Linked DNA regions of Struthio camelus. The protein of the gene in region 4 interacts with the protein of the main gene of each other region in a pairwise test. Links are inferred from orthologs where the notes say so. Each region holds a gene or a part of one and is shown on either strand. Other genes may lie near its edges.

Region 1 (7,444 bases), on a different chromosome or scaffold from region 4:
CTATGTGCATGCCTGGTTCTCAATGCAGGAATCCAGTTATAAGAGCAGATACCATCATAGTTTTTGTAATATTCGCACAATCTATAAAGCTGTGTGCAAAATGAAAACTCTGAACAAACTATGCCAAAAGCAGTAAAATATTTTATTTTCATAAGTTTTTAAGAACAATCTATGTTTATACAATATAGCATTTCCAAGCCTTTTTAAATGTGATCCTTTAAATTCATTGCGCCAGACTTTACATTTCATCTAGATCCCATCCTGCACTTTTCATCCCAGAGGCACAGACGAAAAACACTGGATAACAGTTTTCAAATTTTCTTTGGTCAGTAATTTCACTAGCATCCTTACTTTCTCTTTTGCACAAGATTAGTACTTTCTCATGTCAATGCATTAATCCTCAAAGGCAAGCTATTATAGAAATGCAAATGCTACATAAGATTCATTTGCTTTCAGGTGCTTTTCTGACCTCAGGACATTGGTATTTCAGTACCTTTTTTTTTTTTTTTTAAATGTACACAACTGGACATGATTCAAAATCACCTCTCATGTTTCTGTAAGTGTCATTCCAGACTGTACAGTAAAATATTTTTCATGCAACAGACCAAAAATACCAAGGATTTCAAGAAGTTTGAATAAGACTGTCATCATGAACGTTTTGTTATTCTGAGCCAATATAACAAAGATTTGCATGCCCCTGCATTCCACTGAAAGTCAGCTAGGTAGGTACCACAGAAACACCAAAACACATAGTGCTTTGCCCATGCTTTGGGCATGAAATTTTAGAATTAAGTGTATATCAGTCTGTTCTTAAATATTCCAGTATATTTTTGCAACACAAGCTGTGAATATGATTTCCGACCCAGGGCTGTGGTAAGTTATTAAAGGCCATATCACCAGATCTGTGTTAATGAGAAAAATCACTATACTTACGGTTGCGGGAGCTGGGGTAGGAGGTGGGGCGTAAGATGGCCTTTCTGTTGAAAGATAAATGCAAGCAGAAAGTTTTTTCTTGAAAATGCGAATGAATTCTTTATAAGGCATCCAGAGTCCCAAACACTTCAAAGATTTACAGAAGACAGACAGAGATCCTGGCCTCAAAGACTTACTTTCCACTATGTCATTGAAGATTGTAAAACAAAGGATAGGAGAGAGAGGAGAAAAAAAATCCCACGCCATTGCCAGATTGCTAGCCTTTTATTTAGACATAAGATTAAAGACTATAAAACATATTTAAATGAAGATCAGTTAAAAAGAGGGTAAGCAAAAGTGTAGTGAAACATCATTTAGGAGAAACTGATATCTGGATTGTCTATGGAAACAGAGAGTTGTACTCAAAAAGTAGTCTTTGATATGTTATAGTATGCTTTAGAAATAAGCAGGAACAGGCTAAGGTCCAATCACACCTGAGATGCCAGAAATCAGCCACAAGCAAGATTTAAGGCCAAGAGTTTGGTCAGAATCATTCCTTTTCACACAAGGAATGACAGAATTATCTCACAGTTTGGTTCTTGCTGATTCAGATCTTTAATTCACCAAATTAAAGGAAGAAAAATCTGAAAACTTACTTGACATTTTGATAGGCAAATTTTCAGCCACCTGACATTATATTTGTAATTCTGAAAAACAAAAGAATATTATGCTATTAAATGTTAAGCTTTCCCAACTCTTTGAAATTTCAATTATAATTACCATTAATTACTAAAGAAGATTTGCAAATTTTGGAACAAAAACAAAACAAAGTTTCTGAAAACTATAGGTGATATATTATTGCAACATGAATGTGCTTTCCAAGGAGTTTGGCCTTAAACAGCTGTGATTCAGGTTTATGTGATCTCCATGATACAGATTTTAAGTATAACTTTTTTCCTAAGCAATAAAAAGGATACGTATCACTATTTTACACAGCCTGCTTCAGAAACCTGGTCTTAATGTATGAGCGACCTCACTAAATATTTCCATTACGGAACAGGAAAAAGTAATCACCAAACATGATAGAAGCTATAGGGTTCTTCATAGCATCGGCTATGGGATGTGAGAGATTTAATCTCATTCAGCATCAAGCTCGTAAGCGTGTCAGGGAAACACACAGCAATAAAGCAGTGTTCTTTCAGCCTTCCTCTTAGAAGAAGTCCATCAAGATTTCAATAGAAGTTAGGCCCGTTTTGGCACTACGTGACGGCACAGCGGTCTTCGCTTTGACCTTTCCTCGTTTTTCGCACCGAAACGCTCACGAAGTTCAACGGGGCAGAAAGGCCCCTGCGTGCACCACGGAGCAGCCGGTCTCTGAAGCCGGCCCAGCGTTCCCGCTGCCTCCAAACGGGGCCGTGCCCGCTCCCGGGAGACCCGCAGCCGGCCCGAGAGGCACCGCTCGACCCCCCCCCCCCGCCGCCGGGCGGGACCCCCGGCGCCTCCCCGGAGGCAGCGCAGCCAGGACAGGGCCCCCCAACGCCCGGTGGCGAGAGGCGGCCGGGCCGGGCCTGCCGCCTCCCAGCCCCTCCCGCCCGCGGCTCCCCAGGCCTCGGCGACCCCCTCGGCCTGCCCCCGCCGCGAGCCCGCGCTGGAGGAGGCCGGGCCGGGCGAGCTCCGGGCCGGGCCCCGCCGCCCCGACTCACCGGCTCCGGCCCCGGCCGCGCTCCCTTTGTTCCCCACAGGGCTGGGGGAGGCCGCGCGGGCCGCGCCTGCGCCTCGGCACTTTCCACACGCAGAGCCTCCGCCCCGCCCTCGGCGGCGGCTGCTGCTCGGGCTTTACCGGAGAGGCCGCTGCGCTGCCCGTCTCCCCTCCGGTGTCACCGCCGGGCACAGACCCTCCCCGCACGCCCGCAACCCGCCGGGAGGAAGGGAAGCCGGAGCGGATTGTGGCGAATCTGCGGCACACAGAGGGTAAAGGCAGCGCCGGGCTCTGCGCGCAGGCGCGGCTCCATCCCGCCCCGCCCCGCCATTCCCCCAGCGGGGTGGTTTCTCAGCCGGCGGGGCTGCCCGCCTGCCTCGCGTTCCCTTCCGCACTTTCCACACCCAGCGTAGCCTTCTTCCCGCCCTTCCGCTGGGGCTCGGTAGCGCCCGCCGCCGCTCGGGTCGCTGTTAGCAGGTCCGCGGCGGGCGAGCGGAAGGGGCGGGCGGCCGGGTTGCCGCGTTGTCTCCGCGTGGCGAATCTGCGGCTGAGAACGTCCAGGCAGGCGCGGGGGAGGTGAGGCCGTTGGCGCCTCGCGCCCGCCACGCGCCCGGCGGCCATTTGGCGCCTTTTCGGCTCGCGTCGCCTCAGAGGGGGAGCGCGGCCGCCGGGCCGGGCCGGGCCGAGTCCCTCCGCGCGGGGCGGCGGCGACGGGACAGGAGACGAGCGGGAAGAGCCGGGCGCAGCGCAAACGGCCGTGAGGGGAGGGGGAGGGGGAGCGGCTGGAAGAGGCGCTGCTGCGCTACAGCCTCGGGGCCTCGATGTCTCTCAGGAGCGGGATAAGGAGCGTAGGTGACCTGTCCCGGCAGCGCCGAGGAGCCGTGTGTCTAGAGTGGGCCGGACCGTCCTGCAGCCACGGTCCGGGAGGGGCATGGCTTTGAAGAGAAGCTGAGCGGCAACGGAATTTAGCCCAAAGTTTGCTCTTGCTTAAGGTGCTGTGAGGGAAAAACAAGATTTTTCTGGGTCGATGGAAGGGCGTAGGCAAAAGAAGGTCTAGAGGAAACAGGTCGGCCTGCAAGAACCGCATGATGATGAGCATAGCGAAGACTAAACATGTGGCCTATGGGAAATAATTATAAATCTGTGCAAACTTTAATTTTGGACTATATCGGGCTGACCAGCTCAAGTACTTAGCAGCTGAGTCATAGAAGACTGTGAACTAGGGAGCTCTGAAGTAATCCGGAACGATTTACTGCATGAATATGCAAAGGTATCATATATGCAGGTAAAAAGCCTGCAAATACAGAACACAATACACCTTGCAGCTCTGAATGTCTGAGGAGCAGAGCAGTTTCAGACCTCAGTGTTCCACATATGATGGTTTTGCACAGTGAAAATTGTTAAAGTGACTGAGTTCAAAATAAAAATATAAAATTGGGAAATGAAATGCTGTCATATGGCTAATAAGATAAAATTCTAGACACCTATGAAGGAAGATTTGGGTGGGCCTGGCGATATGGCATCTGAAGGAAAGCCAAACAGTGGATGTTCCTGCTAAGACAGTACGCAGAAACATCTTTGTTTTTTTGAAAAAAACCTAACTGAATAGGATCCTGTGTTACTGCAAGTTAGGCCCGTTTCTTGATGCGCACTGTTTATCTAAACAAGTTTGTTCTTAAATAAGCACATTTCTGTGAACACAGAGACAATGATTCTGCCCTCATCTGCTTACAGTATGCTATCTATGGCCACGGTGGAAATTTGCTGAAGAACAATAGAATAATCTGCAACTTCCATTTGGTAATTAAAAGAATGTAAGAATCCAAAGATTCCTCAGATAGTCAGCTAGATCAGCCTCTTTTTAGTCCACCAGTTTCACGTGGATAGAAGTTTGTGAAGAACAGGTGAGAAAATACTTGTTAAAAATAACCTAGTTTTATTCCTGGCTGTGACTGCTTCATGCATTCCTCTGTAATTTATTAATAACTTGATTTTGCTGATAAAATGCTAAGACAGTTTCCTAGTAAGTAGTTATTAAGAGTCTGTTTCTATACGCTGTACGCTTGTATATGCCCAGAACGAAGTCAGCGCTGACCAGTAGCATGTCTTTGACCTTTGCACTTGCTAGGCAAAGGGGACTTTTCGTGAAAGGCTATTCTGTTCGTTCTTTCTGCATCAACACTTTGTGCAGCGTTCTAGTTTATGTATTTTCTTGCTAACATCTATAGTCCTCTTTGACAGTTAGTTAAATTCCACTCTCATTTTCCCAGGTCAAATGTTAATAGAGCTAATGCTTTGAATTTAGCAGGAACCTTCGGATGTCTGCTAACAAGACACTGCTTTCAAATTTAATTTCAGTGATATCAAATATTCAGTGATTTCAAATATTAAATTTTAGCGATATCAAATATTCAGTCAAGTAGACAAAAATGATTAGGAAAACTAAGATGTGAGGAGCGAGACAAAGAGGAGTTTGAAGAAGTGGTTGGAGTTTGTTGTACGACTGCACCTGTCGCTGAGACTCAAAAGCCTTTTATTTTCCTTAGGTGTTCAGCTGAGTGAGAATGCCTTGAAGTTACATTGAAAGATACATTTATTGCATGTAGCATGACATTTTCATTCTTCCTATTCAGAACTTGGTATGGTTTTGGCAAGAAAGGTGTAATTGTGTTCTGTGCATAGAAATTTTAAAATGATGAGGTCAATTCTAAATTTATGCAGCTTGAAATATTTCATATGGTTTTCATGTATGCTTCCTGATAATCACTGTCCATGCTCATAGAACCGAATCATTTATATATATTTTCAAAATTAGCAATATATTGCTTGCTTTATGTTTTATGTTTTTCATTTTGCTATTCATATGAATCAGTTACTAGATTGGTAGACCTGGATATCCAAGTCATCTGTAGTCATACCATGGCCTTTCACTTAGCTGAGGAGGACAGTTTCTGGCATCAGAGGTTGTAGTATACTTTGCAATGTACTGCATGACATGAGTAGTTTTACTGATGTAATAAAATTATTTATATAACATCCTCTTTAATTGGGGGGACGGGCTCTACATAGTTGGCTCTTATCCGACTTCTGAGACTTCTGTTTTTTCCGTTAGCAACAGTTTCTTAAGCTTTGTAATTAGGACATATATTCAGTGGCAAGTAGGTTGAGACAATCAAACTCATTTTTACGGCAGACGTTTGCAGGTGTTAGATGGTAATAGCCCAGCTTGTCTAAATTTAATTAGCATCTTAGCAGTGAAGAATTCTTTGCCATAGTATTAGGCTTCAATATTGCATTTTTAAATTCAACTTTAAAGTGACCTGAAATCAGGGCAAGATGTTACTGTGCATACTGCTTTTTCCTATGCCCGCATGGCATTCTCAGTGGCACTTTTTGTAAATATAAAACATTATAACGGGGTTTGACCCAGTTGTTTCAAACATCAACCAGGAGTTGTGTATTTTATGAGTAATTGAGTTCAGTGGCATATAATGGGAACTTACGTGGGTAAAATAAATTTCTCGTTCATGGGACAGCTCATGATGTAGTTGTACGGTTGTTAAAGTCGGGGAAATGGCTTCAGAACCCGTGAGGCCCTTATACGGACAAAATAACGTGTATCAATAAAGTCAACCTTTTTTCTATGTACTCAGTTTCCCGGGCCAAGTTGATTACTCTAGATCTAAACAGTAATTTTTCTCTTTCAAAATAGCGCGTACATTGCATTGCAGGGTTGGGTCAGATATGAGTTCTGTACTATGCTGGGGAAGGCTTCCAGCATTAGTGAAAAATCTAGAGTTGCACTAGATAAGCTAAAAGCACAAGTATTGTGGTTCAGAGAGTAAGCCAAACACCCAGTGGTAAAAGGCATGTACGTACTTGCTATTTGTTTCTGCTTCTCTGCTGTCTTTTGGATGGTAAAGTGTGTATGCCAGATGCTGTCTGTCTTCTTTTTGTGTGCAGAGCTCAGAACAAAGGACTTGAGATGTAGTCAGGGCTACTGGATTTTAGCAAAAAAGAATAATTGTTGTTGTCCAAGAAGAATACACACCCTGCATGCATGTTGTGATAAAGATTCTTAGGGAATATGGGTCTTACCAATTGTAGAGAAGAGCTTTAAAAAACACTCAGCTGCAGTGCTACAGATTTGCTTATCAACTGCTTTTATTGTATGTTTTTCTATTTTTCTATTACTCCTTTCTTCTTGAGACATATATGCCAAACTCACAAAAAAAGCATGGGCAAACTCAGTTTTATTACTTTTTGTTGTAGTGCTATCATTTACTTTGGTAAATTCATATCCCTGTTTAAAGTGCCTTAAAGCAATTAAAACTTAGTTCAAATTCAAGTATAGTAAAATGTACACAGTATAAGCACAAAAAAAAGCTGCATAGTGAAAATGCGAGGGCAGGCTATTACATTCAGGATGCCAAATACTCAAGTATTAACAACACCAGATCAATATTAAGGTTAATGATACTTAGTCAGCTTTATACAGTAGATACAGAACCATGGGCAGTATAAAATGCGTTGTTTGTACCATTAACAAAAGATAGAAGCATAACTCAGTACTGGAAAAATTTGCAGTATCAGTTTTTGTTACACATGCCATAAGTAGTAAGGCAATTACTGACACTTAAAAGAAATTTTTACATGCTACCATGGATCTAGTAAATATTGTATGTGGTTTTCCTAGATTCCGAGCCCCTGCAATCCCAGTGACTTAGACTGAGTTAGTTTGTGGCATCAGTTCCTCTTAAAAATCGTCATCAGCAGTCGTTCATATCTTAATACAATTTTGTTTGAAATTTGTTTCATAACCTCGTAAAGAAA
Region 2 (6,863 bases), about 24 Mb from region 4:
AACTGCTCTATGAACATATGGAGAATAACACATAAATCAAAGTGAAAGCACTGGAATATAAAAACCCACAAGGTTACAATAGGTTGCATCAGAAACTGTCCTTTAACCAGTGCATTAAAACCACCCTTAAACAGTTGTAACGTCAGCTGATGCAAAACAACAGTTTCATCAACTGAGCCACTGAAAACGTGTTCCTTTTAGGAGAACTGTACCTAGGGAAAACAGCCACAGCTTGCTGAGTTCACTGTTCCTTTATCTTCACCTGCTCAGTTCATTGCATTTTTGCCTTTGAATAAAGCTAAAAAAAGGTGCAGAAATGTGTAAGTAAAAAGTTAAGTAATCTCACAGGGGCCAAGCAGCCTTGAGAAGAACTACCATGCATATACTGTTAGGATATGCTTTGACCTATCTACTTTGAACGTGGATTTTATTAACTACTGTGTATAATAATAACAATAAAAAGGTCTTTCCACGTGAAAGTTGTACTTAACAACTAAGTAAAAAAAAAAAAACTAAGTAACTTTAGTAAAAACTAAAAAACAAGCAAACTGCCTGTATTAAAAACATTCACAAGCAGTGAATGACAGAACGTGTTCACTTTAAAAGTGAGGCAAAACTGTAACTATATAATTTACTCCTACCAGGGAGCTAAAATAATTCACTGTAGCTACTCAGTAAGGCGAAGTAACTGAAGAACTGCAGTTTGCAACCACTTTCACCATTGTTCCACATACACCACTAACACCTGATCAATGCTACCTCATGACAAGTCAGAAATCCCTAAGAAATCCTTACTGAGAGCTAACTTGAAACAGATATTCCTGAGAGCCTGAAGAAAATCTGCATCTCCTCCTTTCAGAGCAGTTTCATTTCAAGACCTACGGCATGTTGTATGACTATGCAGAACACAGCAGCTACTTTTCCAAAAACCTGAACTTGAAAGGGGGATCATACACTACAAATCTTTTCTATACATGGTACAAATTAATGCCACTGACATGGATGTTTCAATACCTTTTAAAAACTGGTAACATTTACCTGCAATGAAAAACTTGCTGTTATGCTTTTAATGTTTCTCTCACCTTGTTAATACTACTACACGATGCGACGATAACAGAAAATAATTTCTTTCAAAAGAAAAAAAAATCACATATTAGCTAAACTACCTCAGGATGCAAAGAAAATTATAAGCAGTCAAATTATCAAGGGTACTGTCATAGGCTACCAACTCAGCTATAGTAATCAACTGCGCACGCGCTCTTATTCTGTTTTGCTTTATACTGTTTAAGCAACTATGCTGCACTTTTCATAGGAGTCAAACGTACTTTCCTTCACGACTATGAAGGACACGTCCACTATTATCATGGCTCAGCTGACAAGATGAGAATATGGCTGCTTGCAGTGGTCTGTCCACACTCCTTCTCCTATCCTTGTCTTGCAGATATGGAGATGGAAAACATGCAACTCTATCTAGGAAAAGTGACAACTGTTTTCCACTGTTATATTTTCGTCCACATCAAAGCGTTAACATAGTACAAATGCAAAACCTTCCATTACCTTTGGCCCCATGGTGACAGCTACAGCATCTGCTAGAAGATCTACTCCTTGAAGCATAAGAGCTCGGGCATCTGCTCCAAACTTAACATCTTTTGCATATGCTCGCGTTAGATGGGGGGCCAGTGCTCTGGACACTGGCCTTGTCCGACGGAGTAGTGTAGATAAACGAAGCATGTCTAAAAGATTAAAACACCACCACAGAAAGATATGAATACCGTGTCCTTTGCACGGCGACTTTTAGAATAAAAAGGGGAAAAAAAAACCTCCCAAAATTGAGGTAGTAAAGCAAGTGACCATGACCTTTCATTTTCCGATTGTTTCGAACGCAGACATACAATTACCTGAGGGTAAGAGAGCTCGGGCGCCCAGCTCCTCAAGAGGAGACCTCAGCTCCAGCAGCTCCTCATGGAGCAGCCTCCAGCACCTCTGAGCTCCTCCCGCCTCGCTTCTCCCGGCTGTCGGGCGGGAGATGGCCAGGGCGCTGTAGCACACAAGCCGTTCCGTTTGCCAGACGGATCCATCCCCTCAGGCAGCACCACTTCACCGGCAAACGGGGGCGGCCGCGCGCACCCGGGCGAGCGGGGCGCTTCAGGGTAGCGCCCTGACGGCGCGGCCCGGCGAGGCCCCAGCGCCCGACCCTGCCTCCCACGGGCAGCCCTTGCTCCGGGGCGAGAGGAGGAGAAGCAGCCGGGCGCGGCCGCGGCGGGCAGGAGAGGGCCGCCGGCCACGTGTCTCCTTCCATCAGGACACGCGCAGCAAGGTCAACAGCCGCTCGCCCCCTGCCGCCGGGCGGGCCGCGCTGCAGCGCCGCGGGGCCGCCTGGTCCGCCGCGACCCCCGGCCGAGCACGAGCACGGGCGCGGAGCGCCCCTCCCCCCGCCCCCCCCCCCCGCCGCCGCGGGGGGAAGCGCACGAGCCGCCGCAGGGCCCCGGGCTGGGCGCGCGCACGCGCTGGGCGCAGGCGCGCGGCCCCCGTCCGCAGCGCGCGCCGCTCTGAAGGCGGCCGCAGCGCCCCGCGTTCGAATCGCGAGAGCCGTTGCAGGCGGCGCGCGCCCCTAACGGCCGCAACCGCCGCAACGCCCAAAAGGCAGAGGGCAAGGGGCGAGGGGGCTGCGCACCCGACCCACTGGCATCCCCCCCGTCCCCGGGCAAGGCCGCTCCGCGCCAGGCCGAGCCCGGCCGGGCCCCGAGCAGGGGCAGCCCCACACGCTCACCTCTGTGCAAGGCGGGGGAGAGCGGCAGGCGGCTCCGCCGTCCGGACTCGAAGCGGAGCGGGCAGATCTGCGCGCGAGCCCGGGAAGGCGCTCAGCACTCACTAGCTCGGCCCCTCCCCCGGCCAGGCAGCCACCCATGTGGGGCTCCGCGCGGCCCAGCCCGGGAACCAGCATAGCCGCCGCGGCCCCGCCCCTGGCGCGGGCGCACGGCCGCAGCGCTGCGGCGCCGCCCGCCCTCCGCGCATGCGCCCTGGCGGCCCGGCATGAGCCACTCAGGTTCCGGGGCCCGCCAGTTCCAGAACCTTCTGGAACGCTCATGCTCGCCGCGGGTCAAAGGTGACGTGACCTCACTTCCGGGCCGGCGCGGGGCCCCGGGGCCCGGCGGGCCCCGTGCGGCGCGGGGCGCGGTGCCGTTGCAGCGGCGGCCGCCCTGCGCGGGGGCCGCGGGCCCGGCGGGGAAAAATAAACGGCGGAATCGCGGCTCGGGGGGGCGGAAGGGCTCCGCCTCGGGGCGGGCCGCGCGGGGTGGGGGGGAGGGTTGCCGCGCGCATGCGCAGGTGGTGACCTTTTTCACGTGTGCGCGGCGCAGGCCCGGGTCACTCGGTGGCGGGGAGCGCGGCGGCCGCCATGGTGAGTGAGTGCCCGCCCGGCCGCCCGCCCGCCGCGGGGGCTGCGAGGGGCCTGTGCTGCTGCCGCCGCTGCCTAGCAGCGGGCGGGGGGCCGCGGCTCTGCGCCGCCCGGGGGCCCTGCAGCGCCCGCCACTGCTGCGGGCGCCTCCCCGGGCCGGCGGCGGCGGCGGCGGCGGGGGGGGTGCGCGGCGCGGCGGCTCGGCTCGGCGGGCGCGGGGCCGTTTTGGGAGCCCGTTGGGAGCGCGGCAAGGGCAGCGCGCCCTTGGGGCGAGACGGGCCGCTCGGGAGCCCCGCGGGCGGGCGGGCGGGCGGGGTGCGGCGCGGCGGCCTGGCCCCCGAGCCTGGTGGCACAGAAGCCAGAAAGGCGCTTGGGGGTTCAGCGCCTGTGCTTGGCGAGCTTGTGCGGGTGGAGCTCGCCGCGAAGAGCAGCGGGGCAGGGGCAGGGGCGCCCTTACCGTGGAGCTGGAATTTTTTTCCTGTGTTCGCATTTTCTAATTCGGTGTAAAATATCCGTGTTCATAAGTCTAATTGCTTATTTCCCTTAAGCACAGGTCACTTGAAAAATAAATGAAGCTCAGAGCTGTTGTTTTCATAACTGGCAGCCTTTTCCATTTGTGCGGGTTTTTTTTTCTTCCACGTTGTAGTAGTAGCAAGTTTTTTTGGGGGGAGGGGGGAAATGGGGACAGCATCTTTTGTTTACTGGGCTTTGTGTTTGTCCTGCCTGTAACTTTTGAGGCATTCCTGATTTTTTTTAAAGCATGAGAGTGTATAACGATGGGTCTCGGGGAAGGGACCTTGGATGCTAGAACCTTCTCTGAGTGGGCTCTGGATACCTGTCTAGTGGAGCGCTATCTCCACGTGACTTGGCAAGTCTCCAGACCTTTGCTCTTCATCAAAGCATGTTCCTTATCCCTGACTCTGCACTTGCATTTAGTCTGTGAGAATGCAGCTACTGTTGCTGAAATGCAGCCAGTAGCAGCAGTAGGTAGTAGCAAAAAAGTTAACTCTTAAGCAGAGGTAGCTGTTGACTAGTTTCCTACATGAAGGAAAAGCAGCCAACACACAAATGTGCCTAGCTGCTTATTCTTGGGGGTTTACAAAAACCTTCACTTTTTTGCAAAGTTGTAGTCTATTTGTAGAACTCAGTAGAAAAAAACTACACTCTCACTTCAGACTTCAAACTTTAGAAGCTGTAAATTGTTATATGAAATGCTAAGCTTTGAAAATACCTGAAAAATACACACAGTACATGCTAGATTTTGCTTTTTTACTATTAAACGTTCCAGTACAGCCGATAAAAATGCCCCCAGAAAACTAGCCCGAGAGGTCCTTCATTAAATCTGGTTGTGACTCAATAAATACATTTCATATACTCATCAATAGTGATGCTAACTAAATTACAGGAGCACTAACGGTTTAGAATCGAGCAGCTTAAAAGCTGATGGAATTTTCCAGCCAAATGAGAAGGCAGCTCCATCTGGTGGTGATTTATGATGTTAGCTGGAGTACATCTTTGTATGGCTGAAATCTTAGGACTGCCCAGGGTGTGCCTGTTAATTCTGCTCAAGAGAGAATTGTTTCTAGGCTTGAGATACAGAACACCTGCGGTTCAACTTTGCTTGTTTCTTTAACTTTTTTTTTTTTGCTGCCATTAAAGGTTGCATATACTTGCCACTATTAAGAACAACTACCCAGCATCTTTCTTAAATTCTTGACTTCTCTTGGAAGATAAACCACTGTGAGGGTTTGAACTTTTTTATTGCCATTTTTTTTTTGTAGTGATCTTCCTGTTACAATATACAATTCCTTTCACAGGCAGGAAAGGCATTTAGGAAATTTCTTCCCCTCTTTGATCGTGTTCTGGTTGAACGATGTGCAGCTGAGACTGTAACCAAAGGAGGCATCATGATTCCAGAAAAAGCTCAAGGGAAAGTGCTACAAGCAACAGTAGTGGCAGTTGGATCGGGAGCCAAAGGAAAGGTAAATGGATCCAACTTTGGGTAGAGTTGGTAATGGTGTGGTGGTAGCTGGAAGCTTAACATAAAGGGATCGGTTGCTGTATAAATTTGGTTACACTTCATGACAACAAATGAGGATGATGAGATTCCTACCGCCTCTCTTGAGTCTGCACTTCAAACTTCACTCAAGTGTCCACCCTTTCCTCATTGGCTCTGACCTTGAATTCCAGCCTTCCTCTTGCTTCTAAAATGGGAAATAATGGCTTTTCAAAAATGAATGTTATTTATTGATATTTACAAGCAGCATTAAACAGTGGGAGGCTTTTTCAGTTTTGAATACTTAAACTATGATTTTCTGGGATGCCTTGTCTGATCACCTTTCAGGTGAAACGTATGGGATTGGCAGCTTTATTTCTTCAACTGCTGCTGATCGCATGCCTGAATTCCTGTAATTTGTGAGCAGGGTGGAATCCCAGAATGTGGTATTCTGTGTCTTAACGCGGTGCAAAATATCGTTGCCCGTAAGCATCAGTTAGGCTTACTGGACAAAAAGAAAATTGGGAATCAAAAATAACTGTTAGGTCAGTTTTCTTGAATTTTACGTGTTAAAAAAACAGGTCTAGGATCATAAAAAGGATAGTGACAGTCTTGACTTCGTTTCATAGTCTTAATCGGCCTGTGGGCTTCAACGTTTCAAGTTTTTTTCCCCACCAAAGAAAGTATCCATTTAGTAGTAATAGTGCGAAATGTGTTTAAAATTTAACTTGTGCATGTTGACTCAGACTCTTTCTTTACCTTGAGTCCTTCCATAGATACTGAGACAAAAAGCATGATATCTCAAAGCTTTATATTGTGAAATGGTGCTAATAATTGACTAACTAGCTAATAATTTATAATACGAAAACATAAGTATAGACTTATGCTTGGAAATCTGTGGTAGAGTTTAATAGATCTGCCAGCAATACTGACAAGTTAATCAAAGTAACAAAGATGAGAAGGCGCTCTTAACTGTCACTTCAAGAAATTAGCCTTGGTCACAGAATAGGGAAATGGACTTTCCTGATTGCTTTAGAGGGGGATTTCATGGTCTGTCACTTAACTTTTCAGACTTCTTAAAGCGAAGTCATCCTCAAAATGCCAAGTGAAGAGTTCAGTTTGCGTTTACACTCAAACTAACGGAAGTACTTTGCATTCAGGAAAATCCACTGCAGTTCTGCTGTTGAAATATTGCAGGGTTCTGATGCTTGAGAATTGACTGGGGTGCTTTTATTCCTAGGTAACTTGCGCATTCTAGTTTTCACTGCGTAACTAAAATGTAGTTACTGTGATTGCTTGAGTGTTTTATGTGGGGGAGGATCACTATGGTTTGAAGGAATTCTTGCCATTAAATCAACCTGTTTACCTGTTTTTTAAAAAAAAAAAGTTTTTCTTCTTTTCTTTCAGAATGGTGAGATTCAGCCAGTAAGTGTAAAAGTTGGTGAAAAGGTCTTGCTGCCAGAATACGGT
Region 3 (7,780 bases), on a different chromosome or scaffold from region 4:
GGGGCCGGGGGCGGTTCGGCCTCGCCGGGGCCGGGGCCGGGCTCCCTCTCCTTGGGCAGGTTAAAGCGCAGCGTGATCTGCACCGGCACCGGGAGGCTCTTGCCGCTGGCCGGAGCCGCCGGCGCCGCCGCGTCCAGGCTCTTCCTCTGCGCCGGCGCGAGGAAGAGGAGCAGAAAGGGGGGCGGTGAGGGACCCTCCACCCTCCCTGTGGGTGCTGGCACCCGCCCGGGCCGTGGGGTCGGGGGGCGGGGGACGGGGGAACGGGGCCGGCCGGCAGCCTCCCACCCGCTTCCCCTCCCGCCCTCCCGGCGCGGCAAAGCGAAGCGTCCCGGCTCCCCGGCGGTCCCTCGTCCCCGATGCTCCCCGCGTCCCCCCACGGCTCCCGGTGGCTCCCAGCGGCTCCCGGTGGCCCCAGCGGTTCCCCGGTCCCCCGAGAGCTCCCGCGTTCCCGACGCTTCCCGGTGCCTCCAATGGCCCCGATGGTTCCTGGTGGCCCCCAGCAGCTCCCGGTGGCCCCTGATGGCTCCCAGTGGCCCCCGATGGTTCCTGGTGGCCCCCGATGGCTCCCGGTGGCCCCCGATGGTTCCTGGTGGCCCCCGATGGCTCCCGGTGGCCCCAACGCTTCGCCTAGGCCCACTGGCTCCCGTGTTCCCACCAGCTCCCAGTGTCCCCAGTAGCTCCCCCGGAAGCAGCAGCTCCCGCGTCCCCAACAGCTCTGGTGTCCCCAGTGGCTCCCAATGACCCCACTGGCTCCCAACATCCCCAGTGGCCCCTAACGTCCCCAGTGGCTCCCAATGACCCCACTGGCTCCCAACATCCCCAGTGGCCCCCAACGTCCCCAGTGGCTCCCAACGTCCCCAGCGACTCCCAACGTCCCCAGCAACTCCCAACATCCCCAGTGGCTCCCAACGTCCCCAGCGGCTCCCAACGTCCCTGTTGGCTCCCCCGTCCTCAGCGACTGCCCTGCGTCCCCTACGCTTCCCAGCGTCCCCAACGGCTCCCAGTAGCTCCAACAGCTTTAGGTGTCCCCCCAACCGAGGAGCAAGGGACGTCCGCGGAGCTCCAAGCGTCCCCAACGGTTCCTGGTGTCACCGTCGGGTGCAAAAACGTCCCCGGGGCTCCGTGCGTCCCTAAACTCTCTGCGTCCCCGCTAGGACCACAAACGGCCCTGACTGCAGGTGTCCCCAAAGCTTCTAGATGTCCCCAACTCATCTACGTGGCCTCTCTAGACCCGCAGACGTTTCCGACACTCAAGGTGGCCTTCCTGTCCCCCGAACGTGCCCTGAACGTCCTCGCTGTCCCCCGACCCCAAACGCGCCCCTGAACTCGTCCCCGAGTCAACTTCGAGAACGTCCCCGGGGCTCGAGGTGTCTTCTCCCGGCTCCGTCGGACGTCCCCGACAGCTCTAGTGAACCCGCCCACCCCCCCCAACCTGGGGGCGTCCCCCCCCCACCCCCAGCGGCGGCGGGGCCGTCCCCAGCGGCGGCGCCCGTCCCCTCACCACGTCGCGCTCCGGCGAGCCGGGCCGGGAACCGGGCAGGCCGTTCTTGGTGGGCGTCTTGGCTTCCTTCTTGGGGAACTGGATCTTCTTGAGGTCCAGGCGGTCGTGGGTGACCCATTCGTCCAGGCGCTTGTTGACTGGGGACGGCGGGAGGGGACGCGGTGACGCGGCGGCGGGACGCCCGCCCGCCCGGCTTGCGGTCGCCCCGGCTCTCGCCCCGAGGCTCTCGGGGGCCCCGTGGCCTCTTGGTGGCCCCGTCCCCTCCTCGGTGGCCCCGTCCCCGCCGCGGTGGCCCCGTCCCCTCCTCGGTGGCCCCGTCCCCCCCCAGTGTCACCGCGTTCACCCCCCCACCCCAAAACTCACAGTCGATGTAGTGGACGTAGAAGAGCTTGCGCCCGCTGATGTCCTTCACGCTCAGGATCTCGGCCAGCGCTGGGGGGGGCGGCGGGGAGGGGGCGGCAGGGGGGGAGAGGGGGTCGCCTCCCCCCCCCCACCTCCCCCGGGCCCCCCGGGCCGTGACCCCCTCATTGGGGCACCCTCGAATCCCCCCACCCCAAAGGTTGCCTTTCCCCCCTCCGAAATAGCGCTTCAGGCCAACGCAGGTTGCTCCCCCCGCCCCGATATTGCCACCCCCCTACCCAATTACCCCCCCCACAAGACCCCCTCTCCCAAATTTCCCTTCCCCCCCCCCAAAACGTCCCTGGGGGACCCCAAATATCTCCCAGTCTCAAGTCCCCCCCCCCGCTGTCCCCAAAATCCCCCAAACGCCCCCAAAACCCCCCCAGGGACCCTCCAATCCCCCTGAGCCCCCCCCCAAATCCCCTTGCCCCCCCCAAATAGGGAACCCCGGGGGAGGGGGGACAGCTCCCCCGCCCGGCCCCGCCCCCTCCTCCTGGCCCCACCCCGCCCCGCAGCAGCCCCGCCCACTCCTCCTCCTGGCCACGCCCCCTCCGCCCCGCTGGGCCTCCGTGTCGTCCCCCCGCCCCGCGCGGTGGCCCCTCCCACCCTTCCTCCTGGCCACGCCCCCGCGATTGCCCCGCCTGGCCCCGCCCACTCCCCTCCCGGCCCCGCCCACTCCCGGCCCCGTCAGTGCCCCGCCTGGCCCCGCCCACTCCCCTCCCGGCCCGGCCCCGCCCTTCCGCGCCCCGCTCCCGCGGCGGCCCCGCCCCCTCGCGCGGCGGCCCCGCCCCCGCTCACGCCACTCATCCTCGTTGTCCTGGTTGCGGCGCAGCACGGGCAGGCGGCAGCCCTCGGACACCTCCCCCTGCGGGCGGCGCGGCGTCACGGCGGGGGGGTCCCGGGGTCCCGCCGCCCCCCCCTCCGCCGCCCCCGCCCCGCCCCGCCCCGCGCCGCCGCCGCTCACCACCTCCGCCATCCTCGGCCGCAAACCGGGGCCCGCCGCGCACCGCTTCCGGGTCGCCGCCCCAGCGCTTCCGCCTTCCGCTCGCTTGCCCGCCCCGACGTCACTTCCGGCTTGCTCGCCGCCCGCCCCGCGCCTGCGCATGCGCGCGGCGGGAGACCGGGGGTGGGGCTCGCTCGCCGGGCGCTCCTTCCCGCGGTCCTCCCGCTAGACTCTATGGTCGCACTATGGGTCCCCCCCCGTTATGGGTCCCCCCATTATGTGTCCCCCCATTATGTGTCCCCCCATTATGGGTCCCCCCGTTATGTGTCCCCCCGTAATGGGTCCCCCCCGTTATGGGCCCCCCCATTATGAGTCCCCCCCGTTATGTGTCCCACGCCGTTATGGGTCCCCCCGTTATGGGTCCCCCCCCGTTGTGGGTCCCCCCGTTATGGGTCCCCCCGTTATGTGTCCCCCCGTTATGGGTCCCCCCGTTATGGGTCCCCCCCCGTTATGGGTCCCCCCATTATGGGTCCCCCCGTTATGGGTCCCCCCCCGTTATGTGTCCCACGCCGTTATGGGTCCCCCCGTTATGGGTCCCCCCCCATTATGTGTCCCCCCGTTATGGGTCCCCCCATTATGGGTCCCCCCGTTATGGGTCCCCCCCGTTATGTGTCCCCCCGTTATGTGTCCCCCCGTTATGTGTCCCCCCATTATGGGTCCCCCCGTTATGGGTCCCCCCCCGTTATGGGTCCCCCCGTTATGGGTCCCCCCGTTATGTGTCCCCCGTTATGTGTCCCCCCCCGTTATGGGTCCCCCCCCCCGTTATGGGTCCCCCCCATAGGTCCCCCCGTTTTCGGTTCCCCCACATCCGTTCCCCCTCCTTTTGGGTTCCCCCCCCCCCATTATGGGTTCCCCCCCCCCGCCTGGTTTTGCGCCTCTTTTCGCCTCCCTCCGCCGGCCGCAACTGCCCGCCGGCCCCTGCCGCTCGGCCCCGCCCCCTCATTTGCATGGGGGCGGGGCCGGAGCGCGGAGGGGGCGGAAGGGGCGGGGCCGGACGGGGCGGGGCCAGAACGCGGAGCGGGCCGGGGGCGGGGCCGGGGGCGGGGCCTTCCCGGCAGCGGGGGGTCACGTGGGGCGGCGGGGCCACTTCCGCGAATGGCGACGCGGTAGCGGCGGGGCCCGAAGCGGCGGCGGCGGCGGCGGCGGGACCGGACGGTCGCGCCCGGGCGCGGCGGCCCCGCCCACCCCCCTCTCGCCCCGCCCCCACCGGCACCGGGGACCCCCCCCACCCCCCTACCCCTCCCCCCACCCCTCCGCCCGGCCAAGATGGAGAACGGTGAGTGCCCCTCCCCCACCCCCTTCCGCCGGGGGGGGGGGGGCGGGTCGAGGCTCCCCGAAATCGGTGGTTCCCCCCCCCCGCCTCGCCGGTGACGTCAAGCCGCGGTGACGTCAGGGGATCCCCCCTACTCTCCCCCCGCTGGCGGCGGCGTCAGTAGGTTTCAGGGTTAACGCGCGCGGTGGGGGTGGGGGGGGGGTCCCCCCGTCACGTGACGCCGCGGCGTGCGCGCCCCTTCGGTGCGTTACGGTAGCGGCGGCGGCGGCGGCCTTCCCGCACTGCGCCTAATAGCGGCGCGGCGCGGCCGTAGAGCCTCGAAGAGAGGCGCAGCCGGTTTCGTCTCCGCTTTCCTTCCCTCCCTTCCCCCCCATGGCGCGGCAGCTGGTTGGGGGGGGGGCGGGAGGGGGCCCCGGCGTCCGGGCCGGGCTCCCCTCCCCCGCTGACACCCCCGCTCGTCTCTCCCTCCCCCCCCTCCCCCCCGCAGCCGATCTGCTGCCCTTCCTCCTGCAGCAGGACTGGGGCCTGCAGGGTGAGTGGGGGCCCAGGCGTCCGGGGTCGGGGGGGGGGGTCACTCGGACACCTGGGCCCCTTTTGGGGGGGGGTTACCCGGATGCCTGGGCCCCCTTGGGGGGGGGTCACCCGGACGCCTGGGCCCCTTTGGGGGGGGGGGTCACCCGGACACCTGGGCCCCTTTTGGGGAGGGTCACCCGGACACCTGGGCCCCTTTTGGGGGGGGGGGTCACCCGGACGCCTGGGCCCCTTTGGGGGGGTCACCTGGACACCGGTGCCCCTTTTGGGGGGGGTGTTGGGGTCACTCGGACACCTGGGCCCCTTTGGGGGAGGGGTCACCCGGATGCCTGGGCCCCTTTTGGGGGGGGGTCATCTGCACGCCTGGGCCCCTTTTGGGGGGGGGTCACCTGGACACCGGGGCCCCTTTTGGGGGGGGGTCACCCGGGCGCCTGGGCCCCTTTGGGGGGGGTCACTCAAACACCTGGGTCCCTTTTTTTGGGGGGGGGGTCACACGGCCACCTGGATCGCTTGGTGGGGGGGGGGCTCTCCCGGACGCCTGGGCCCCGTTGCAGAGCCGGGGGGGGTGGGGGGGGGCTCTCCCGGACGCCTGGGCCCCGTTGCAGAGCCGGGGGGGGTGGGGGCGGGGGGGCTCTCCCGGACGCCTGGGCCCCGTTGCAGAGCCGGGGGGGTGGGGGTGGGGGGGGCTCTCCCGGACGCCTGGGCCCCGTTGCAGAGCCGGGGGGGGGCGGGGGGGGTGGGGGTGGGGGGGCTCTCCCGGACGCCTGGGCCCCGTTGCAGAGCCGGGGGGGGGCGGGGGGGGTGGGGGTGGGGGGGCTCTCCCGGACGCCTGGGCCCCGTTGCAGAGCCGGGGGGGCGGGGGGGGTGGGGGTGGGGGGGGCTCTCCCGGACGCCTGGGCCCCGTTGCAGAGCCGGGGGGGGGCGGGGGGGGTGGGGGTGGGGGGGCTCTCCCGGACGCCTGGGCCCCGTTGCAGAGCCGGGGGGGCGGGGGGGGGGGCTCTCCCGGACGCCTGGGCCCCGTTGCAGAGCCGGGGGGGGGCGCCCCCTTCGTGGAGATCATCGAGCAGCCCAAGCAGCGGGGGATGCGCTTCCGCTACAAGTGCGAGGGCCGCTCGGCCGGCAGCATCCCCGGCGAGCACAGCAGCGACACCACCAAGACCCACCCCACCATCCGGGTGAGCCCCCAGTATAGACCAGTGCGCACCAGTATAGACCAGTGCGCACCAGTAACCCTCCAGCGCCCTCCCCGCGCCCCCCCTGGGCCCCCAGCCCCGGCGAGCACAGCAGCGACACCACCAAGACCCACCCCACCATCCGGGTGAGCCCCCAGTACAGACCAGTGCGCACCAGTATGCTCCCAGTAGCTCCTCCAGGGTCTCCCAGTAGCCCCCCAGCGGTTGGGGCTGGGGGCTTAGACTCCCCTGGACACTTGGGTCCCTCCCCGGACACCTGGGCCCCGCCGGACAGCTGAGCCCCCCTGTACACCTGAGTGCCACCCGGACGCCTGGGCCCCTTTCCGGACACCTGGGCCCCTCCCCGGACTCCTGGGCCCCCCTTCCCACCCACCGTAGCTGAGCGCGGAGGTTGGGCTCTGCCCGGACGCCTGGGTCCCTCTTAGCGGTTCTAACGCCCGGGTTGGGAACACGGGGGCAGAGGGGGGTTCCCGGACGCCTGGGCCCCTCCCCGGACGCCTGGGCCCTTGGCGCAGATCAACAACTACCGGGGCCCGGGGCGAGTGCGGGTGTCGCTGGTGACGAAGGAGGCGCCGCACCGGCCGCACCCCCACGAGCTGGTGGGCAAGGACTGCCGCGACGGCTACTACGAGGCCGAGCTGGCGCCCGAGCGCAACGTGCACAGGTGAGCCGGACGCCTGGGCCCCTTTGCGAGCCGGACGCCTGGGCCCCTTTGCGAGCTCGGATGCCTGGGCCCTTCGGGGGAGAGGGACGGAGAACGGGACGCGGCGGCCGCTCCGAGGCCGAGTTGGTGCTCGAGAGTGACGTCGCGCGGGTTGCCCGGACGCCTGGGCCCCTTCTCGGGTAGCCCGGGCGCCTGGGTCCCTTCTCGGGTAACCCGGATGCCTGGGCCCTTCAGGGTTTGGGGCGCGCGTTAAGTTAGGGACCGGACGCCTGGGCCTCTCTTGGGTAGCCTGGATGCCTGGGCCCCTTCTCGGGTAGCCCGGATGCCTGGGCCCTTTCTTGGGCAGCCCGGACGCCTGGGCCCTTCAGGGTTGGGGCACATGTTAAGTCGGGGACCGGATACCTGGGCCCTTCTCGGGTAGCCCGGACACCTGGGCCCTTTGGGACTGGGGCGCATGTTAAGTCAGGGACCGGACGCCTGGGCCCCTTCTCAGGTAGCCCGGACACCTGGGCCCTTCAGGGTTTGGGGCGCGTGTTAAGTTAGGGACCGGATGCCTGGGCCCTTCTCGGGTAGCCTGGACGCCTGGGCCCCTTCTCGGGTAGCCTGGACGCCTGGGCCCCTTCTCGGGTAGCCTGGATGCCTGGGCCCCTTCTCGGGTAGCCCGGACGCCTGGGCCCTTTGGGACTGGGGCGCACGTTAAGTCAGGGACCGGACGCCTGGGCCCCTTCTTGGGTAGCCCGGACGCCTGGGCCCTTTGGGACTGGGGCGCACGTTAAATCAGGGACCGGACACTTGGGCCCCTCTTGGGCAGCCCGGACACCTGGGTCCCTTCTCGGGTAGCCCGGACGCCTGGGCCCTTCAGGGTTTGGGGCGCGCGTTAAGTTCGGGACCGGACGCCTGGGTCCCTCTTGGGTAGCCTGGACGCCTGGGTCCCTTCTCGGGTAGCCCGGACGCCTGGGCCCTTCAGGGTTTGGGGTGCGCGTTAAGTTAGGGACTGGACGCCTGGGTCCCTCTTGGGCAGCCCGGACACCTGGGTCCCTTCTCGGGTAGCCCGGACGCCTGGGCCCTTTCTTGGGCAGCCCGGATGCCTGGGTCCCTTCTCGGGTAGCCCGGACGCCTGGGCCCTTCAGGGTTTGGGGCGCGCGTTAAGTTCGGGACCGGATGCCTGGGCCCCTCTTGGGTAGCCTGGACGCCTGGGTCCCTTCTTGGGTAGCCC
Region 4 (7,754 bases):
TTCCTCTTCTTGTTTAGTGAGGGCACAGTAAGAAACAGTCAGGCTGCACAGTCCCTTTGAAATTTGTTGCAGGTTAGTGTTACCAGCCAAAACTGGCAGACCCAGCCACACCAACACACTCAAGTGAGGGGCGTTTGAGGCCTAAGAATTGGCAAAGCTCTGATTTATAGTAGAAGTATGGAGACCTTATCATAAGAGACATAGAGTACTTCCAAAACCTTCACAGAAGTAACTGTAAAGCTTTACAGTAAGCCTGCAGTTAGCAGCTGCAAATACTACTTTTCACAACTGAAAGATTTTTGTTGTTTCTTTAAGATCACATTTAACAATACTAGAATCCCAGAATGAGATCACCCTGGTAGACGTTGGAGTTCCAGACTAAATAGTGCATCATTCTCTTTTCTTTGCTGACACCTTGTGTACAGTGGCTGTAATTTTCACTTTTCTCCAAGGATTTAAGCAGCTCACTTTTAATATACAGTAAAAGTTCATTGAACTCACATGCCTTTACAAGGCACAAGGATTCATATTTCAACTGGCACTCCTAAGGAACTCAGTTTTTAAAAAAATCAAAATATCAAAAACCATTATTTTAAAATGTGCTTCTTCATTTAATGTTACATCAGTATAACAGTGGAAGAAAATTGCTTACTGCTGATCCAGAAGAGACTTCGGAGCTCTTTTGCAAAACTGGCAAAACATTTTGTTTTGAGTGGCAACACGCTGCTGCTCCTCCATCCCAACCTTGTACAGCTCCCTCTGCAAACGGGCAATAGTCTCTTCCTGTTCTTGCAGCTTTTCCTGTTGCTGTTGGTATTTTGCCTGTGAAAAGGGAACGGGAGCATTCCGAAATTATTCTGACAAACAAGCTGGAGACAGTGCCATACATGCCCAAGTAGGCACTTGCTCCTAAGGAAGGTGAGTAGTTTTTTTCTAGCCATGCTGAAGAGACAGTGGAAGAAGGATGCATATGTTTTTCTAATCTATCATTAAAAAATTTCCATAGAGCTTGAAAAATCTTAGCTATAAACAGTGTAGTAACTCTTAAGACAAAAAGATTTGCATTTATTTTGACCAGTGTCACTATTTTTAAAGCTTTTAAATAAAAGTCAAAAGTTTGAGTCCTCAAACAGGTTTACCAGAATTACCTGTGAAATCTGCTGATCTTTTTGAAGTTCTTTGACCTGATTCTGTTGCTGGCAAACCTTAGCTATTGTCTCATCTTCCAGCTGGCAAATTTTGGATTTTATGTTCTTCACCACGTTTTCCAAATCATTAGCCCGTTGTTCTTGCCGGGATGCTCGACCTCGTTCCTGACGTACCTCATCTCTAACAAAAAGAAAAAAAAAACCACAATCCTTGATTTAGAATAAATTAACTTCACTAAATACAGTGAAGGAGACACAGGCCTAACAGATTTTAGCTGTTAACACTCAATAATGGGCCATGTGAGCAGGTATGGGAAATATTTTGCTATGGGAAGAAGCAGCAGATGAAATGATAGAAAAATGCAGAAGAAACCAGGCCAACATTGCCACTTTCCACAAAAATCCCAGGAAAAAGGTCTTGGGCCTCATGCGTGGCAGCAGCTCCACCTGGCAGAGAACGGACACTGACAATATTTTTGGCTTGCATTAGAAACAAGTTCCTACCACTGAGTCTTACCTGAGCTGGTGATTAGCCTCCATAAGCCCATGCATCATTTTCTGTTGTCGGTCCGTGTCTTCCAGCAGTGTTTGTAATGCACATCTTATCCCCAGAGAAGACTGATTGTCCAAGACAATCATATCTGGAAACATTCAAAATAAACAAAGTCACAGTGAAAGGCATTTGATAACTGGAGAAGACCACATCTCTGCTGGCACTTGCAAAAGACAGCTTTAAAGACGGTTTATGAACTTGGGCTTATATTTTCATATACAGAAACTTGTAAAAACAGCATGCCCTTACCTGATATACTTCTGCTGTTTCCTGGGGCAGCAAAGCTCACAGGTTTCAACCCATGGCGCATCAAAATTTTGTTTAAGTTTTCCCATTCTGCTTTCTCCTGCTGCGTTTGGGAGAAGGAGAGACAACAACCTGAATGCTGAAGATCAGCTTACGGTCTCCTATTTCTCCTAGCTGTGTACACGGTAGAAGATACCAAATGCCCCCATATCAAAAAACAACCACGGTTTGCTACAGGAGGGTTGAAAGACTTTCCAAGTATGATCTGCAAAAATATTAGGAAAAACACACTGGACAGTTTACAGATTATCCAGTTTTCCCGGTGAGTATTTTTAAATGCCTTTGCAAATGATCTGCAAACGATTAAAAGAAAAAAAATACTTTCTGGAAAAAATACATAAATATATACAAAATGAAAGGCACTCATCTCATACTAATATTTTAACGCGTACTCCAGGCGGCGGGGCCTGCTCCCCTCCCGTCCCGTCCCGTCCCGCCCCAGGGCCCCAGCACGGTGCAGCCAGCTGGCGGGTGGCGAGTTCTTCAGAGAAATACCTATCTGTAGGTGTGTGCGTGCGTGTATAATATATGTACATACATATATTTAACCTCAAAGTAGCATCAATCAACCAGACAAACAAACAGCTCAGGTTCATTACTGTACCTCCGTCATTGTGAGGGATTTCTGTTCAAATATGCAGAAAGAGCAGCCCGGGCCCTGATCTGAAGCTGCCTAGGGATGAACACGGGAGGGGGGAAAAAAGAAAGAAAGAAAGAAAAAGGGAAAGTCATCAGGCCTCGGGAAAGAGGACCGCCGAGAGGCGCGGCGGGGCGCACGGAGGCCGCGCCGCCGCCAGCAGCCGGCACTGGCGCTTCAGGCCGCCAGCAGCCGGCACTGGCGCTTCAGACCCCCACAGCCGCCCTCCCCGCCCGGCCCGCCGCCGCAACGGCTCCGAGAGGGCCGCGGGGCCGGCAGCGCGGCAGGAAGGCACCCAGCGGGAGGCGGCCGAGCGGCGCGGGCAGCCCACTACCGCCTCACGGCGCCGGCTCGGGGCGGGCTGCGGCTAACGGCCGCCGGCGGGGGGCGGGGCCGGGGCGCGCGCCGCGCCGCCATTTTGAGACGCTGAGAGCTGCGAAGGGAGGGGGAGACGGAGGTGGCGCCGGTGGGGGCTGCAGCGGCCGGAGCCCCGCGCAGGTAGGAGACAGCGCTGGGGATGGGGGCGGCCGGGGCCGGGGCCGGGGCTCTCCTGTCCAGCCCGCGGAGGCGTTGCGGTCACCTCGCTGCCCGACGCTGGGAGGCGGCGGCGGGGGGTGTTTTGGCCGCGGCGCGGCCGGGCTGAGGGAGCGGCGCCTTGGAGACCGCTCGGCAGCGGCGGGGCGGGAAGGGGGGCGGGGGGGGAAGCGGTTTCCCCGGCCTGGCGGCTGCTGGAGCGGCCTCCAAGGCCCTACAGCGCTAAGTGCCGCCTGGCAGCGGCCAGAGCTAGGGTGGGGGGGTTTGCTTTGCCCGGAGTCCCAGGGACTGATTCAAGGCAGTAAGTAATTTTTCTTATTTTCCCTTTTTTTTTTTTTTTTTTTTTTTGCGGGCCGGTTCTGCGGTAGAGGTTTTCTTAGTCAGTCAGCGTCTCCTGCGTGCTGCTCTCACTTTATGCTCCATGGGTATTGCCCATCCTCTAGATAGGGTGAAGCTGACCTAGAGACTGGGTTTTGTGCCCAGATTTGATTCGAAAAGCGTGTTACGAAGTGATTGGGGGAGGAGACTGTGTAGTTTCCGTTATTTTGTAGCCTTTTCAATATTGATGCTAAATTAGCTGCTAAACTTCATAGGGCCGGGTTGCATGCCACCGCAGGGGATGCAGGGTCTGCGAGCAGGCTGGAAACGTGCTCCGGTTCCACCTCTTTGGCACTTTTTGTAACTTGAGGTCGCTGCTGTGTTGATAAGATGGTCGAGGCAGGCGGCGTAAGTCTGTCCTGAGCCAGTAAGAGTCTCTTTCTCTTTTTTTAATCCTTAGAAAGGAGGTGCAGAAATAATAACCGTTTCCCAACTTCCCTGATGCTCCAGAGGATAAGAATCTTTATGGAAACCAAACTGTAAACTTCAAAAGCAACAAAAAGACCCCCTTGTTGTCATTATTAGTTGACATACACAACTCACAAATGGGAGAATTAAATCCTTATATTCTTAAAAATGAACTCACAGTCTTTGGAACTTACTTTGCAGTTCACGAGCAGAAATTTGTAGGGTTGCTGAGGAAAAAGATAATAAACAGTAATATAGCAATGCTATTGAGCTTGCTTTAGAGCAGAAACAAGTTACACTGAAGGAGGCCTAATGTTAAATGCATTAACTATTATGCTCAAGAGAGATCCTAGAACTCATGACTTGACTTTAATTCATTTTTTCAAGGAAAAGTACCATTTATTTACCAAAAATGAGTTATTTGCATTGAATGAAATTATACCTATTGGTAGCTACTTTGGATTAGAGCAATAGGCCATGTGTTGGAAGAAAAATAGAGTACAGTATTCTTATGCTTTTATGTTCCACCGGCTTAAATGATTCTCTGACAACTGGGAGGTCTGTTACAGCTTATGTGATTAACAGTACAGTTTAAAAGACAGCTTTTAATGAAAATAGATCCTACACAAACTATTGTGTTTAATGAAAAGGATAAGGATTAAAAACAGGTTAGCAGTGTTGTAGGAACACATAAATCACTACTTCTTACTTAGAAGGCTTTTTGATGGTGCTTGCATTGTTTATTTCTGGTAAATACAGATTTTTATGGTTGAATTGCCAGGTCAAATTGCTACCATGACTATTGAAAACTGCTACAGTGGTTTAGCAAAGCTATTAAGTCGAAATTGTTGAGTCTGGCTCTGGTGCTTATGTTTAGAGGTCTGAGACAAGAACAAGGCTTCCACTTCACTCAGGATTTGAATATTGCACTGACTGTGGACCATAAGGACTCCTGCATCCTGTCTGCTCTCCCAAGCAGTATTTGATATCCTCTTCTCGGGCACTATTTCATTTTGCCTCTAGTGGCAATGGTCTCCGGTGTGTTACAGTTGGTGACTGAGCTGTGAAGTTCTGGATTTGGTTCCTGTTTTGGTCAGGTCCGTTTCAAAACTTTCTCTCGTAAATCGGGCAAAGTACTTTTCATCAAATACATGACAAAGCTAGGCTGTGCTAATAAAGTTAGGAAAAATCGCCCATACTAATTTTGTAAAGTAATACTTCCAAATAAACTTGTATTTGCCTTTTTGTCTAAGAGGAAAAAAATCACATATATGAATAATACATGATAGTTCATCACACTTTTTTAAAAAGATCTATAATCTTAAATGGAGAAAACTAGGAAAATCTAGTTCTCAATGCTTCTCTATTGCTATTCAGCTTTTCTTTTTTTCTTGCTGCTAATTGGATTAAGAGCTGTTTTGATTACTATGGCATCCTGTGAGGAGATTACTGTCGGTGAAGATGAACTAAGGTAAAAAACAGAACTGCAGCATGAACAGGTTTGAAAAGATATCCACAATTTCAGCAGTCACTTAAGAGTTTACCTGAGTTTTAAAAACCACTTAAAGAAAGGATATCTCAACATCTCTTCCCCCCATTGGAAGGAGGGAGGGGTAATATGTATGTGCATGCACAGTTGCATTTCTGAATGATGTAGGTAATATTTATGAAAAAGGTTACAGACAAATTTTTTAATAGCTAAACTGGTCACCCTAACTAGTTTGCAAGTTTAAAAGGCTAAAACACTTTAACAGACCAGTTAGCGTACTGTATTAGTGACTGCCAAGAAATCACAGAACTGTCCATAAGCATCTGGAATGTAAGTGTAGTTTTTTAACTTTGTTGTCATCTGCCTTGGAAGTTTTAGAGGTTAGATGGATGTATGTTCTTGTATGGTATTAGTCAAAGTGAACCTGTTTACCTGTCTTTGTGCTTATTTTTTGTGACAAGTTTTATCATATTTGAATGTTTGGTTTTTTTTAAGAAAATAAAAAAATTGGTTACATTTATTCTTTCAGATCTCACTTTTTCATTGGTAAAAGGTGACTTGCTATAAAGTAGTAAAGCTTTCAACTACATTCAGCAATATTTGAACTCTCTCAACCACAATTAATGTACTTTGTTGGTGTTTCTGTAGGTCCCGGTACAGCCATTTAGAGAAGATGACAGATCTGGTGGCCGTTTGGGAAGTAGCTTTAAGTGATGGTGTTCATAAGATTGAATTTGAACATGGGACCACGTCAGGAAAACGTGTTGTCTATGTTGATGGAAAGGTGAAATTACTATATGCTCAAAATTCACTATGATACAGACTGTGTAAGTGTGCTTCCATGCAGAATGCATCAGAACAAACAAAAGACTAATAAATGCAAGTGAGATGTATTTGGTTGACTAACTTTACGTAATCTAATAGACTACATAATTCTCTTCTCAGTTACAATTAAGGTGTGAGTCTTCATGAAGTGCTTTGCAGTCCTTGGGCAGAGGCACTCTGTACATGCAAAATATTATGAATTCGTACATACTGAAATAATAGTTAAGTACTGGGCTGTTGCCCAAGTTCTAGTTCAAAATGTCTCAATCCTGAGACATATTCAGGTTTATTAATTAATACCCATTGTCTTTGGCTTTTTTTCCTACAGGAAGAAATAAGAAAAGAATGGATGTTTAAATTGGTGGGTAAAGAAACGTTTACTGTTGGAGCAGCTAAAACAAAAGCTACTATTAACATTGATGCAGTCAGTGGCTTTGCGTATGAATATACGTTGGATATCAATGGGAAAAGCCTCAAGAAGTATATGGAGAACAGGTCAAAAACAACTAATACTTGGGTACTGAGTTTGGATGGCATGGAGTATAGAGTTGTTCTAGGTAAGTAAATATTGACTTCATGTTGTTGCCTTTGAATAAACTTGTGTGCATTTAATAACTGGCAGATAAGAGAAGGTATAGTTCAGGCTAGCACTGTTGCAGTGCAAAATCCTGGGTAGTCTGGAAACACTTAATTAGATGCTAAAGACAACGATCTGAAAAAATAAGGGTCTGGTTACATCTTTCCTCTTTCGTCCCCCTTTCCCAAAAATACTACAAGCAGATGGGCAGAAGGAAGCTACTGGGAAATTTGTGTCCATTGCATCTAGTAGGGGAAGCTTCTTGGGTGTTGCTGCAAGGTTAGAGCCAGAGATGAGATCAGGGACTATGTTTTTTTTTTTTTTTTTCTCCTTTATTAAACGTAAGGACAGAATGAATATCCTAAGATCAAATAAGACTGGGGGGGGGCAATCTTAATATATGACAGAGCCTGCAGCCTGCTTGGTTTTCCTCACAGTTTTAGTCTCCTTGTATTTAATTAAAAGGCGAGCAGGGTTCAGCTCTCTAATCATTGCCAGTGGAGGGCAGTGTCAGTAATGTGAATTCTAGAGCTAATGAACTTAAGAAGGTTGTACTGGGAAAAATAAAATAATACTGTTTGAAACAGTACAATTTTAAGATTCTTCATATTATGGTATGGATGGAACTTGAGTTTTCAAGGAGATCTTAAGAACTCTGAAACTTTGTGGATATTAAGTAAAGCTGCTCTTTACTTAAACATACCTCAAAGAAGTTAAAATTGGGATTTGATTGAATAAACACTCCTTAAATAATTGGCACAGACTACTTCATTTTTCTATCCTCAAGTTCTTCAGTTTGAGGATGCCAGAACATCTCTGACAGCATTCAGAGCAATCCACTGTTAACAGCCAGAGCTAGGGAGAGGTAAAAATGTATGTTTATAGCAAAAGTTGCTTGC

The links.
Region 1: the proteins of CEP70 (region 4) and SMARCE1 interact in binary tests that used the Homo sapiens proteins (3 or more experiments, as listed by UniProt). The two-hybrid records come from large-scale screens. The link is inferred for Struthio camelus from reciprocal best matches to the Homo sapiens genes CEP70 and SMARCE1.
Region 2: the proteins of CEP70 (region 4) and HSPD1 interact in binary tests that used the Homo sapiens proteins (3 or more experiments, as listed by UniProt). The two-hybrid records come from large-scale screens. The link is inferred for Struthio camelus from reciprocal best matches to the Homo sapiens genes CEP70 and HSPD1.
Region 3: the proteins of CEP70 (region 4) and KAT5 interact in binary tests that used the Homo sapiens proteins (3 or more experiments, as listed by UniProt). The link is inferred for Struthio camelus from reciprocal best matches to the Homo sapiens genes CEP70 and KAT5.

Annotation. Positions count from the first base shown.
Region 1 is NC_090966.1:7,066,623-7,074,066, forward strand, and holds the start of SMARCE1 (SWI/SNF-related matrix-associated actin-dependent regulator of chromatin subfamily E member 1), read right to left. Parts: upstream 3,009-7,444; 5' UTR 2,616-3,008; intron 1,620-2,615; 5' UTR 1,576-1,619; coding exon 1,569-1,575; intron 978-1,568; coding exon 934-977; intron 1-933. UniProt on the Homo sapiens protein: Involved in transcriptional activation and repression of select genes by chromatin remodeling (alteration of DNA-nucleosome topology).
Region 2 is NC_090947.1:11,797,294-11,804,156, reverse strand, and holds the start of HSPD1 (60 kDa heat shock protein, mitochondrial), read right to left. Parts: upstream 3,002-6,863; 5' UTR 2,771-3,001; intron 1,734-2,770; 5' UTR 1,732-1,733; coding exon 1,558-1,731; intron 1-1,557. Other genes in the region: HSPE1 (10 kDa heat shock protein, mitochondrial), read left to right, coding at 3,398-3,400, 5,215-5,379, 6,801-6,863. UniProt on the Homo sapiens protein: Chaperonin implicated in mitochondrial protein import and macromolecular assembly. Together with Hsp10, facilitates the correct folding of imported proteins.
Region 3 is NC_090976.1:906,227-914,006, reverse strand, and holds the start of KAT5 (histone acetyltransferase KAT5), read right to left. Parts: upstream 3,014-7,780; 5' UTR 3,006-3,013; coding exon 2,865-3,005; intron 2,766-2,864; coding exon 2,699-2,765; intron 1,934-2,698; coding exon 1,865-1,933; intron 1,639-1,864; coding exon 1,502-1,638; intron 147-1,501; coding exon 1-146. Other genes in the region: RELA (transcription factor p65), read left to right, coding at 4,170-4,179, 4,664-4,708, 5,734-5,882, 6,416-6,564. UniProt on the Homo sapiens protein: Catalytic subunit of the NuA4 histone acetyltransferase complex, a multiprotein complex involved in transcriptional activation of select genes principally by acetylation of nucleosomal histones H2A and H4.
Region 4 is NC_090947.1:35,546,531-35,554,284, reverse strand, and holds the start of CEP70 (centrosomal protein of 70 kDa), read right to left. Parts: upstream 3,003-7,754; 5' UTR 2,621-3,002; coding exon 2,612-2,620; intron 2,051-2,611; coding exon 1,951-2,050; intron 1,790-1,950; coding exon 1,666-1,789; intron 1,330-1,665; coding exon 1,149-1,329; intron 823-1,148; coding exon 653-822; intron 1-652. Other genes in the region: FAIM (fas apoptotic inhibitory molecule 1), read left to right, coding at 5,392-5,435, 6,102-6,237, 6,607-6,835.